3 linked regions of the Danio rerio genome follow. The protein of the gene in region 2 purifies or fractionates together with the protein of the main gene of each other region. This does not show direct contact. Links are inferred from orthologs where the notes say so. Each region holds a gene or a part of one and is shown on either strand. Other genes may lie near its edges. The genes, in order: atxn2, mcrip2 and ddx6.

The links.
Region 1: the proteins of mcrip2 (region 2) and atxn2 purify together in Homo sapiens (co-immunoprecipitation; 3 studies listed by BioGRID and IntAct, with this or other methods). This does not show direct contact. The link is inferred for Danio rerio from reciprocal best matches to the Homo sapiens genes MCRIP2 and ATXN2.
Region 3: the proteins of mcrip2 (region 2) and ddx6 purify together in Homo sapiens (co-immunoprecipitation; 5 studies listed by BioGRID and IntAct, with this or other methods). This does not show direct contact. The link is inferred for Danio rerio from reciprocal best matches to the Homo sapiens genes MCRIP2 and DDX6.

Annotation. Positions count from the first base shown.
Region 1 is NC_133180.1:42,591,698-42,595,849, reverse strand, and holds the start of atxn2 (ataxin-2), read left to right. Parts: upstream 1-1,284; 5' UTR 1,285-1,672; coding exon 1,673-1,791; intron 1,792-3,668; coding exon 3,669-3,702; intron 3,703-4,152. UniProt on the Homo sapiens protein: Involved in EGFR trafficking, acting as negative regulator of endocytic EGFR internalization at the plasma membrane.
Region 2 is NC_133197.1:27,546,560-27,550,797, reverse strand, and holds the start of mcrip2 (MAPK regulated corepressor interacting protein 2), read left to right. Parts: upstream 1-1,300; 5' UTR 1,301-1,861; coding exon 1,862-1,916; intron 1,917-2,050; coding exon 2,051-2,120; intron 2,121-3,275; coding exon 3,276-3,409; intron 3,410-4,238.
Region 3 is NC_133193.1:46,839,380-46,843,742, reverse strand, and holds the start of ddx6 (probable ATP-dependent RNA helicase DDX6), read left to right. Parts: upstream 1-1,471; 5' UTR 1,472-1,512; intron 1,513-1,807; exon of another isoform or gene 1,808-1,895; intron 1,896-4,363.

The sequences.
Region 1 (4,152 bases), on a different chromosome or scaffold from region 2:
TGATTTTAGAGGAAACGCCAATGCTGACTGTGCTGCTTGATATTTTTTAAGGAAACCGAAACATATTTAGTTGTCTTTAATGAGTTGAAAAAAAACAGCATTAATGTACTTTTGTTAAATAAAAGTATTTCGTTAAACCAATTCACAGAACAACAGGCCCTTAAGCAGACTATTGAAATGGTGGTTCTGTGGACCTTTTTACAGTTATTTAATTTCTAATAAATTATAAGGTTCAAATATGGCATTTTAAGTGACATTTTCAAGCACTAATCTTTGTTGGATTAGCTTTTCGGATGGTCATCAAAACCACAATCTTTGATGGAACAAAAATATTTCCTTTAATTTTGTCAGAAATGTTCACTATACTATTTTACCATGTGCATTTAAACTGTACGTTATTTACAGTTTTCTTTCGAACCACCCGAAGCACCCTGGCTACAGACCTGTACAAAGAATCTACATTTTTACATTATCAACTTTATTGTGTAAGATTTATAGGCATTTTTCCTTTTTTTTTCTTATCTAAATTATTTAGGTCCACATATGACAAGTTTATGAGTATTTGTGCATTCAGGTTAAAACCATTGACTTCTATTTTCTTTTTCCACTATTGAAGTTAATCGTTACAGATTTTTAGCTTTCTTCAAAATATCTTCTTTTCCTGAAGGTTTGAAACCAAATGAGGGCGAGTGAATTTTGAGTAAATTTTTATTTTTGGATGAACTATTCATGTAATTTCAAGTTAATTACATATTTTAAATCACAAAAAAAAAAAAAACTAAAACATACACAAAGAGGAAAATGAGTCAATGGAAAAACATTGTTTAGTTGACCATATTTAGATCAAGGGTTACATGAGGATAACGCTTTATTTAATAATTGCTTAAAATCTCAAAGCAGAGAGTAAAATAGTGTATATTAATTAGATTACTGTTTTAAATATTAAACTCGAAGAAATAAAACTAATCAGAACAACTAGGCCAAATAGAGCTTGAAGAATTTAACTGTATATATTTCACCACCAGTCACCTGGTCTAGCGCCAAAGCACACACGCACAAAGTGATCAGTGCATCTTCTGAAAATAGTGCGCTCGACATATGCGCATCATTCCTCAAATCTAACATTCATCCATTTCTAATATTATCTGAATAGTGTATTACGTTCTTAGAATATTTACAATAACTATTGACGATCATTTCTTCTGGAACCAATAAAACCATCAATAGGAGTACACACATTCCTGGGATGTGTATATATCCTTCCGCCACTTTTTGTGGCTTTTCAGACTGTTTAGGTCTATCGGTCAGTGCTGAAGCCCCGCGTGAACTGTGTATATCACTGAAAATACCGCACTAAAAATAACAAAATAGCGAAATTACCGGGTTGGTATTTTTGTAGACATCTAAAACATATGGGTCGTCCGCGCTTTGCTTTTAAAACGGGCTGAATTGTCTCTGTTTAGGAGGAATTAATCAGCAGAGCTAGCTGAAGTAGCAGGCAGCGTCAGTGGAGACTCGAGTAACTGGAGGAGCAGTTTTACACGTTGGCTGTCACTAGATCAACTGTCAGCTAACACGTCAAATAGCATTTTCCGCTCTCGTCCGCGGCATCAAACGTTTTTTTTCCAAACAGTCAGACAACTCTGCTCAAGCTGTCGTTTATGGGATCATCATGTCCATGAAGCCGCAGGCCGGTGGTAATCGCAAACCCGGCGGAAGCAACAGCGGAGCCGCTGCGGCCTCCGGTACCGGGGGAGCAGGAGGAGGCGTCGGACGCCAGAACATGGGCAGGTGGGTGACCAATCTGCATAACAGGCTTTTAATTCGGATGGACCGACGAGCGTGAACCAACACGGGAATGCGGCATGCCTGCACTAGTGTCGTAGTTTAAAAACGCAGGTTGTGGAGTTGCAGTGATCAGGATAGAGCGCAAGTAGGCCGATATAGGCCAAGTTCACAGGACAGGGATTCACAGGTTAATGGACGCAAACTACTGCGGTTATAAAATAACAGCTGATAGCGGACAACATGTTCGTGTATATTTCGAGAGGGGCGGGTTGTCTGCTGTGGGTGCTGGTCACGTTCAGGATGAATTGTGCGTCTTTGCCGGTGGGATATGGCTGTGCCAGCTTTTCCCAGGACAGATGCTTTTGTATCGTGTCGGAATCTGTTATAGGATTGAACGTGTTTGACATTTTAGTCACTTACAAAGAAATAATCTGAGAGTCATAACGTTACAGTGGGTATAGAAGCAAGTGTTAGCCTGCTAACTACTGTAGCAAACATTTATCTGCTCATACTGTCAGAAATCTGTCTAATTTAACAGGATTTAAAGTATGTTTTGTAGATTAACATCATTCAGGTTTTTGGTCATTATGTAATCGAGAGATCATAGTTTTTCTACAACGTTTTACCAATTGCTTCTGATTTGTGTCAGTCCAAACAAAAAAGGGTTGTTTGCTACAGATAACGTTACCTAGTTTTATGCTTTTATCTTCCCGTCAGCTGATTTGTAACCTCTTCTGAGGTGCCCCTGAATCGATGTTTTGGGAATTCATCATCCATTATGAGATGTCACATGTTAGCTCTCTGTTTGACTATTGACAATGACATTAACTCAGCGTCCGATTTAGATTTCTTGAATTCCGTTAGCTGAGGGCCACTAGGTCGAATCTGCGTGTTTCCCGTTACTTTTCGATTGATCCTTCATGTTGGAACTATCTGTCAGTCGCGTGCATTTCCGATGAGGGGCGGCGCGCGCGCTCACGAGGACAAGCGCTTAGTAGAGTGGAAAGTCAGAGAGCTGCACTCTCAACCTTGACGTTTACAAGAGGTTGCATGCATAAGTCTGTCCTTGCATAATGACGTTTGAGTAAGTATGTTGTGTAGAGGTGTGACAGACGAATGTTATTGTCGTGGTTTGTGTTGAGCTGTCATGAATGAAGAAATTAACAGTGGAAACTTTTAATCTAACAGCTGAGAATTGGCATCACATAGTTGCACACTGCATGGGGAAAATGTGATTATTGTTTACGCAAAACAACAAGAGTGATATGACTTGTACAAGATTGTGGGAATCTTGAGTGGTGCAGTGGAGCCTTTCACTGCCTGTAATGCAGCACTTGATTTGCAGCCTGGCTGTTGAAAAATAATTGTCATTCACAGCTTTTATCTTACTAATGTATTTTAATGTACTAGATGCTGATAGTTTTTGCCTAATCTTTGAGCACTGAACTTATTTTGCTGCACATTAGAGATCTTGTTGAAATTTTGTCCAACACATTGAAAGCTTTACAATTCAGAATCTGTCATATGTTTGAGGTATATGGCTGTTAGTGGATATGAGTCACGTACTGTCAGTAAAATGCAGATTTTCTTTTTAGAGTCTGTTGTTTGGGAACTACATAAGTGCTTCTTTGCACAATGAATTGCATGAAGCATATGATTATTTGTCACTCCTTTGTCATTACAGCTTTGAGTGTTTGCCAGTACATGTGCAATCGATAACCCTACTGGAATCACTTGAATTTGTGTTCGTAGGAGTGTGTGACTTTTTTTGCTCTTTAAACCGTGTGTACAGCATGTCAAAGATTTTCTGTGTATGCATATGGTTATAGTTCAACTGTTATAAAACTTCTCAGTCATGCTGTTTTCTCTCCTCCCAACAGAGGACGCAACAATGCCAAAGGACCCTCTACTGCAGTGAGTTTCGGCTTTTCTTTTTTTCATTTATTCATAGTGTAAATTTATTAAATTGATTCGCATACAAATTTATATTCCCTGTTGAATCATATATACAGTGCTCAGCTTAATTGAGTACACCCCGTTTCGAAAATAAATATTTTTATCCATTTCTCAGTAAATATAGGCAATGTAGTTTGGTGCATTTAAACAAAACAGGTTTATTAAACAGATGTATTTATTAAAGTTATATTTTAGTCACCAGACATATTTAGAAGTATAGAGTATTTAGAAATAATACAATTAATAAATTTGTAGGTTGTATTTTTTTCCCGATATTTTACTTGAATTTAATCAAGCAAAAAAATTACAACCTACAAATTTTCAACTTAATTTTTAAATTTTTGCTTCTTGTTTTTTCCTCATTTTAAATTTTTGTTTAATATTTTTCTATAACAGATATATGTGGGT
Region 2 (4,238 bases):
CCGGAATAACACACGCGGCATTCTGACGCTACCTGCCGTGTGCATCTAAGATTCCGGGAAATGCGGAGGTTTTTTTTCTCTCATTCGCCGTGCGGTATCAAACATTGCATGAAAAATACACACTTAGAGCAGTTCCTCGAATCAAATATCTCGTTTGTCGCGAGGGGCATGAATGAATTCCCTGAATGAAAGCCAAACTGCAGTTAAAGTCCACCATTTAATAATTTGGCAAAAAATTTGACTACAGATGTCCACGTAGGTTAAACACCATCACTTTTTACTGTGTGTGTGTGTGTGTGTGTGTATTTTGACTCTGAAACTCACGCGTGCTCAAATAGACACTTCCACACCATCCCACTTTTCTTCCTCCGACACTCCCCCCTAAACAGAGCTGGACACGCCCACTTTTCTGACTTTTTCCAAAGTAGAGGTGTGAAAACACCCTGCTGAAACGAGGGGGTTTCATGGCCCTTTAAAGACACAGGCCACAAAAACAGCTACAAGCAGAAAAGCCCAATATTCTGAAAGCTATAATAAATAATCTGATGGGCCTTTTGAGCTGAAATCCCACAGACACATTCTGAAGACAAAAGACGTATGTTAAATCATGAAAAAGGGGTAAAATATGTGCTCTTTAAAACAACAAGTCTGTAATTATATATACCATAAGGGAATCAAAATATTTATTATATAAGCAATAAACTTGGTCTTCTAAGGCAGCTACCAAACGCCAACCTTATGTTGGACACAGAAATACTAATTTAGGATTACTTAAAATCCACGTTTATCAGTTTTTTTGGGCAATTATTATAAAAATAAACAAATACATTTCTAACCAAGAGACATTTTGTCTCTATATTTGCTTTTCAAGGACTGTTGTGCTGTCTATAACAGTTGTGTAACAATTACCTCTCCTCACTTTTTTCGTGTTATATTAACTAATAATTAAATAAATGTGCGACTTCAGTACCTTCATGGCAGATTAGTAGGTTTAACCATTCGGTTTATAACACACACACACACACACACACACAGCAAAGTTCAGCAGTATTAATGTGTACCAAGTCTGACCAGTTCCCACGTGGTGCGTCAGGCGCATCGCAGCTGCGCATATTTACGCAATCCATTTACTTGATTGCGCGATGTTTCTACTGTACACTTGAATCGGTTACATGTTTGAACGCATTAAAGAATGATGTTTGGATTTTACACAACAGCATGCTTCCCACGTGGTGCATTCAAGCGCCTCCTATCAGCGCAAATACACGCAGCCTGCCGTTTATCTCGTTTATTACACAAGTTTATCAGTTGCATGTTTAGCGGCATGATGAAACCGTGTTTAGATTGCACACACAGCCCGTTTGATGGTGTCCACAAGGTGAGTAGGTGAAAGGTGACCCGAGTTATACGTCGCGGGGGCGTGCCGTGACGTCACGGAAGAAGGTTGCGATCTGACCGTCCGAATTTACAGTAGTGTCCAGCCTGAACCAGAACTCAGAAAGTTTCCCAAGATAGACGCCTCTCGCGCATACAAACACACCGGACGCTCTGCGAATTAGCCTGGCGCGTAATTAGGGTAATAAACGCTCTTAACCTTGACTGACCTTACGTCTGCTGTAAGTAAACACAAGGGCGCTTAAGTCCACTCGCATATGCTCCCTGCAAGCGTCTGACCGGCAGATTTGCAGACGGGATCGACACTGCTTATTTCCACGGTGGCTGCGTCAAAAGAGCTCCGTCCTGAAGGGGGATCGCGTGACGTTTTCTGGCGTGCATTTAATTGTGACTTAAGCACTGACCGATCCGTAGACCTCGCGTGGATCTATCGTACCGCAGGGGTTCTCCAGAAACCGTCTCTCACATGATGTACACAATAACCAGAGGTCCCAGCAAACTTGTTACACAACGCAGAACAGGTAAGGTGAACAGGAACAGCATGCAGACGACGCAATATCGCTGATTTCTAATGCTTTTATGGTGTATATTTAAAAAAAAACGACCCACTTATAGACCTTGGCTGATGTATTAACACATACTTTCTCTATTTCAGGCCCTACACAACAGATTGAGAGCAAAGGAAACGACCTGAAACAGAAGCAGAGCCACTGGCTTGTATCGGAGTGAGTGATATAATGTAACACATCTAGTACCTGATTGATCTCCTCACGTGAGTTTGGTCACTAAGGGGAAACTTAAACATGATTTAACTGCCCCATCGTCCTTGTTTCGTTTATACGCAGTGGACATTTAAAAGTATCCACAGACAACAAGGTGGCCTCATTCATAAATCAGGACGTGCTGTTTTTACCCCTTTGCCAGAGTCGCATGTTTTTGCAGCGCCGTGTGACCTTGCAACAGTAGCGCGTGCGCGTGAACGAGAGCGCGTGGAGTGTCGGCTTGTTTGAAGATTGTGTCGCGATTTCTGTCGGTACTCATTTCTGTAGATAGGGATTAATAATTGATCTTTTGGCGTTATTATATTGCGAGCACATGCTTGTCACACCCCTTATATTCCCACAAGGACGTTGTGCAGCACCATGTGCTGCTTTCTAAGGCGATTTTTACGACGGTCATGCGTTCGCGTATGCGTCCTGTCAATTGAGTTTGATATTTGAATAGCGACCCATTGATGATGATGATGACGATGGTGGTTATGTTAATATAGTTAGTAAATGGGTTTTATAACGCGTCACTATAGAAACGAGGTTGTGTAAGGAAGTATTTGGTCTTAAAGGGACAGTTCACCAAAATATTGTGACAGGCTTTTCACTGAAAGGGATAGTTCACCCCAAAATGGAAATTTACTCACTCTGAAGTGATCCCAAACCTTTTTTGAGTTTCTTTCTTCTGTTAAACACAAAAGTAGATATTTTATAGAAAGCTAAAAACTTATAACCATTCGCTTATATAGTCGAGAAACCAATGCAATGGAAATCAATTGTTACAGCCTTTAATCATTCTTCAAAATATATTTTTACTTTTAACAAAAGAAACTCAAATGTTTAAAATAAGGTTAAATAACAGAATGTAGCTAAATCTATAATTTTAAGTCTTTTTCAGACCTGTTAATATTTGTATACTTTAAAGAACACACTTTATGTTAAAGTCAATGGATGTCCAAATAATTAGTAACTATAATTCCAAATAATAATGAAGAAATTGACATGGGCCAGATCATAAAAATTAAAGGATTGATGGTTTACCACCTATACCACTATGTATAACTTTACAACCAGGTAATATTATTATATATCTTCTAATTTCCCACTGTGCAGTTCACCAGCGCCCAAGATTGTGTTTCATCGTCTGAACGGAAAGCGGTACCACAGATCCACCTCTCCAAAAGCCGACAACACAACTGAAGGATTCACACCAGCTCACGAGGAAAATGTCCGGTTTGTTTATGAGGGTGAGTTCATTTTCCTGAATGCCGTTGTTAATGTCCTAGTTACCATTAAGACCTTGAGGCTGGTTAGCAGCTGCCGTGACCTCAGTGAACTCCAAGTATTCAAGGCTCCACAACTCAAAAGTGTCACAAACTGGCGAGTCTTGAGGTCATGCAAACTAAACTAAACTAAACTGCAGTTGTGGATCACTTGGGTTCAGAGTATCATTAACGTGCTTCGGGAGGCCGGTTCATCAGATTTGTGAGAAGAAGGACAATTGTTGTCTTGCAAAGGAGGTGTTTGTCTACAGGCCAGACCCCTCCTCCGCAGGCTGATGCAACGCCACCTCAAGGGCAGCTTTTAGGCTCTTTTGTACAACGGCAGGCTAGTCAACTGAGGCTTAATGTTTTCTAAAACTGCTTTACATGCTGTAGAAAGGTGTTGCATAATGCGGTGAAATCTCACAACCGGTTTAGGGAGTGTTAAAGCACTTTAGTCAATTTTGTCCTAAAAGAAAAGCATGTTTTTCAAGTTCTAAACTTTTTATTAACCCTTATACATTGTTGGGGATGTTTTCATCCACTCTGGGGTGATTTTTGAGTCTTAAATTGGCCATAACTTTTTCTGACTTTTGTGAAAATCTTATTTTGATGTACTTTGGGAAATGCTTTGACATTTTTAAAAACTCAATGATACACTCTGGGCAAATTGAATACCCTTTAATTATGTTGAGAATGAAAACATCCACTGAATTAAGCTAAAAATGCATCAGATTAATGTTTATTTTTTGCATAAATCTGTTAATCAACCTCAGTCCTGCTTAAAATGACTAAATTATTTAGAAAATTACAT
Region 3 (4,363 bases), on a different chromosome or scaffold from region 2:
TGCGATTATGTATAGGTGTGTTTGCATGCTGCGAGTTTATATGTATGTGCATATAAATGTGGATATTTATGCGAGAATCGAGTTTATCTGTATATGCGAGTGTGTATAGGTGTGTTTGCATGCAGCAAGTTTATATGTATGTGCATGTGTTAATGTGAGTGTTTATGTGAGGATCGAGTTTATATGTATGTGCGTGTGTATGTGGGTGTATTCATGTGTCAAGTTTATATGTATATACACAAGTTTCATTCATGTTGTTTTGAACATCCAGTAGTATGGGTGTATATGCGAGTAATTTATAGGTGTATATACACGTGTTTTATGTATGTGTTGATAAGCAAAGTTTGATTTAAATCCTACACGGCACCTCATAAATAACCCTGAGCAAATACCTTACAACTCCATGTTACGTTACCCTGCATTACTTTGTGCCTCGCGCTCCCTATAAATGATCATTTTGTCCTATTTCTCACACATCTGTAAACACAATATCGACAAACTGATAGTAACAATTGAAAGGTGTTTGATAAAGGATGTCTCTCATCATAGACAATCATGATAGCCTTATTTAATACACTTTCTTTGTATATACTATTAATGCCCTTTTGTTTTATACCCAAGAACTTACTGGCTGTTGTTACCACCTTTCCCAGTGACCTCTTCTGGGCCTCAGAAGCATTTCCATACCAATAGATCACACAAAATGTTGCAATAATTTCAATAAAAACACTAGAAAATATGATCAACGATGTGTTGTCAACAATAAAAGACAATCGTTTCTTTAAGAAGTACATTCTCTGTTGCCTTTTCCTTATAGACTCAGTCCACTTACGTTTCCTGTCCAACAACACATCTAAATATATTTGGATGTAACTGCATTTAGGTGAATTGTATAAACTTAATTGGCTGCAGTGTATGAGTGTGTATGGATGTTTCCCAGTACTGGGTTGAAGCTGGGCATCTGCTGTAAAAAAAAAAAAAAAAACATATGCTGGATAAGTTGGCGGTTCATTCCGCTGTGGCAACCTCTCATGAATAAATGGACTAAGCTGAGAGAAAATTGATGAATTATTAGGTTTAATGTATATTATGTCAAACTTAAGGACACGTTCGTCATCGTGCTCAAAATTTATGTTTTTTCGCAACGAAAAATAAATAAATAACAGACATACTAATGCACAAAAATGTTACGTTACGTTAAAAAACTACTTTCTAGCCACATAAGTCAGTCTAATTAGTCATTAAACTACTCAAGGCAATTCATTAACTACCTCCAAACACCTCAGGCGTGCCTATCAACAGATTCCTACTTTGTGCACTTCAAGCCTCTTCAACAATAATAAAATAAGCATTATTATTAAAGATAAAATATGTTTTTAAATACCCAAATAAAAAAACAGTATGTCTAAACCACATGGATCCTTACACCAATTAGTCAAGTATAAACACGTTGAGCTAATTAAATGACACCCTTCACATGCCGTGCTTCAGCCAAGACTACAACAAGCTCAGGTAGGAATTAAACTGCGCTGCTATGTAATTAGGACGTTTTTAAAGCAAAATGTGTAATTGTGACGACCTCAACCGCTTACAAATAAATAAAACATAAATAAAACGAAATTCTAAGAGCTTAATTAACGTATTCTTAATATATATATATTTAACAACGCATTTGAAATGACGGCAGCATTAAATTGCGTTTTCTAAACAATCGTCATATGCGTTGCGTTTGTGTGGATTAGACAGGGCTCTGTCTCATGTGACTGATTATGGGAGGGTTTAAAGATGACTGGAAGCCATCTTACACACTCGCTTTACACCCCGAAATATGTCACAACTCTACACCTATAATTCACAAACACAAACACACTGAAAGATATTCTCTGCCACGTTTGGTAAGTTTGCAGAACGTCAAATCTACGTGTTGTGTTCTGGGGATTAAGTCGGTTTTGTGGGTTTCTTTGTGTCTTGGTGTTTACAAATTTGTGATGTCTTTTTGGCTCGCAGTGTTTGTGTTAGCTGATTTAGTTAAGAGTTAAATATGTTCTTGCTTCTGTTTTAGCGTTTATGAAACGAGCGTTTAGTTCTTTATACTGGTGATTGTGAATCTGAGGTTACGCGTGCGGCCTGTGTGCAAGCCAAAAGCTAACGAGCTTGAGCACTGCTAATATTTCCTTCCTAACAGCTTATATATTTAGATTTGCTTATAATAAAAGCCACATTCCATCGTATTATGATAACCGTGTTTGCTAAAGATTTAAAATGTATCCGACTATTAAAATCTGTCTGGCTTGAAGCCGTCAGCGGTAGCTGCGTAGCTAAACATTAGCATTAACGTTTGTTGCGTGACGCCGAGTTTCACGTTATGTGGAATCAATACGGTTAACCTTTAAGATGTACATTTTAGCTTAATAACTACAACGTGACACTGGTTATATCGTATAACATAACATTGTTTTTTAGTATTCGTGGAATGAGTTCAATGAACTATACGCTTTCGCTTAACTTAAGGTAACCAAACATTTGTTATGTCTAATTTTAAGCTCCACAGCTGTGTAGTCAACGTGCAACTTCACCTGTTTTTATAGATGCATAACAACACTGAAGTCACATTTATTAAAGTTTGTCATTTTTAAATGCTTTAGGTAAACGCGAGGCTGTTTTACAATGAGGCCTATCGTGTTGACATTGTGCCAGCTGCTGCTGCCATCATTATTGAACTCACATTAGACATTTAATAACGTTTATGGTCTGTTCATAGATCTGAAAATGAATTAAAGTTGTAATTGGTTACAAATTCAAGAGACTTTTTTATCTTGACACTTCTACCAGAGCTTGTCCCTGTAATTTCTGCATGAGTGTGTGTTAACTCTTTTGATGCTGTAATATTGCAGGTAATTGTAGAAGTATAAGTGTTAGTGCTAGTTTGTGGTAAAGATGCACAGAGCAATTAGCACACTTTTTGTTAAAAGAAAATTAAAATGATGGAACCTTTTATCAAACCCAACCTTAACCCTGATCTCATCTTGCATCACAAAGTTTCACATTAGACCTCATACGATGTCTTGCTTGGTCGACATTAGGCATGGGCTGGTATAAGATTCTGATGGTATGATAACCTCGGATAAAAATATCTCTGTTTTACGATATTGTGATTACTCCTTTTAAAATATATTCTAATTAAATGTCTGGGTAAAAAAACTAACTTTTTTTTTCTCCCCTTTCAACACAATTTATTTTATTTAGAGAAACATTTGATATATTTTGTAATGGTAAACATGTTAGGCTAAATAATTCAAATGAATCATTGGCTGCGTCCGAAACCGTATACTTCCATACTATATGGTATGCTAAAATCAGTATGCGAGTCGAGTAGTATGTCCAAATTCATAGAGTTCGAAAATCAGTTTGCGAGAAGTACCCGGATGACTTGCTACTTCCGGTGAGATTCCGGAGTGCGCATCCTATGCACGCTGCGCTGTCCCATAATGCCACGTGAGAGAATTCATAAATGGAAGTTAAGCAACGCAACTGATGCAGGTAGGTCACGTGACCATGACAAAATGGTGGATATAGTACGTCCGAATTCTGTCCATACTTTTCACATTCATACTGTATAGAACGTACGTTTGTAACTGCCGAGTAGTACATTTAAATTCAAAAGCAGTACCTACTGAGTAGTAGGCGGTTCGGACACAGCCTTTGACTAATGCTGTCTTCATTTGTTTAAAAAAACACAGATTTCCTTACAATTTAAAACAGCATCTTTGGATTTTTTTTTTGATTCCTTTCTGCTGGAAATACTGTTGTCCTAAAAAACCAACAACAACAAAAAACAAAACTTGGACATACCTTAGGAATGGTATAGTAGGAAACTTTTGCGGTTTTAAAACCTTGGCTTTTCCAAACCGTGGTATACCTTAAACTTATCGTCCCATGCCTCGTCGACATTGCTTGATCTAAGCACTCAATGACTAAGTTTACATTAGTAATTAAATTATTTGCCTTAATCTGAATAAGACAGTAATATGATTAAGGTGTTCGCATAAGTTGCAATTTGTATGTTCTTTTCATGATCCTGTTTTACATGTTGTAGCACAATTCAATTAACTTCATAGAATCGCCACGCTATTCACATTTCCTCTGGGATATCATGTAATTTCCGGTGTTTTAAATTTGTCGACTTTAACTGCAGTTTGGCACTTTCACTCAGGAACATTTCATGCATGCCTCCCCTGACAAATGAAATATTGGATGAGTATTTAATGCTGTAAGAGGGTCGTTTTATTGGAATTTGATAACGCACGCAGTATTGGAAACATAAACTCCACATTTCATGATGCAGGTGTCTGTGATTCCTCAC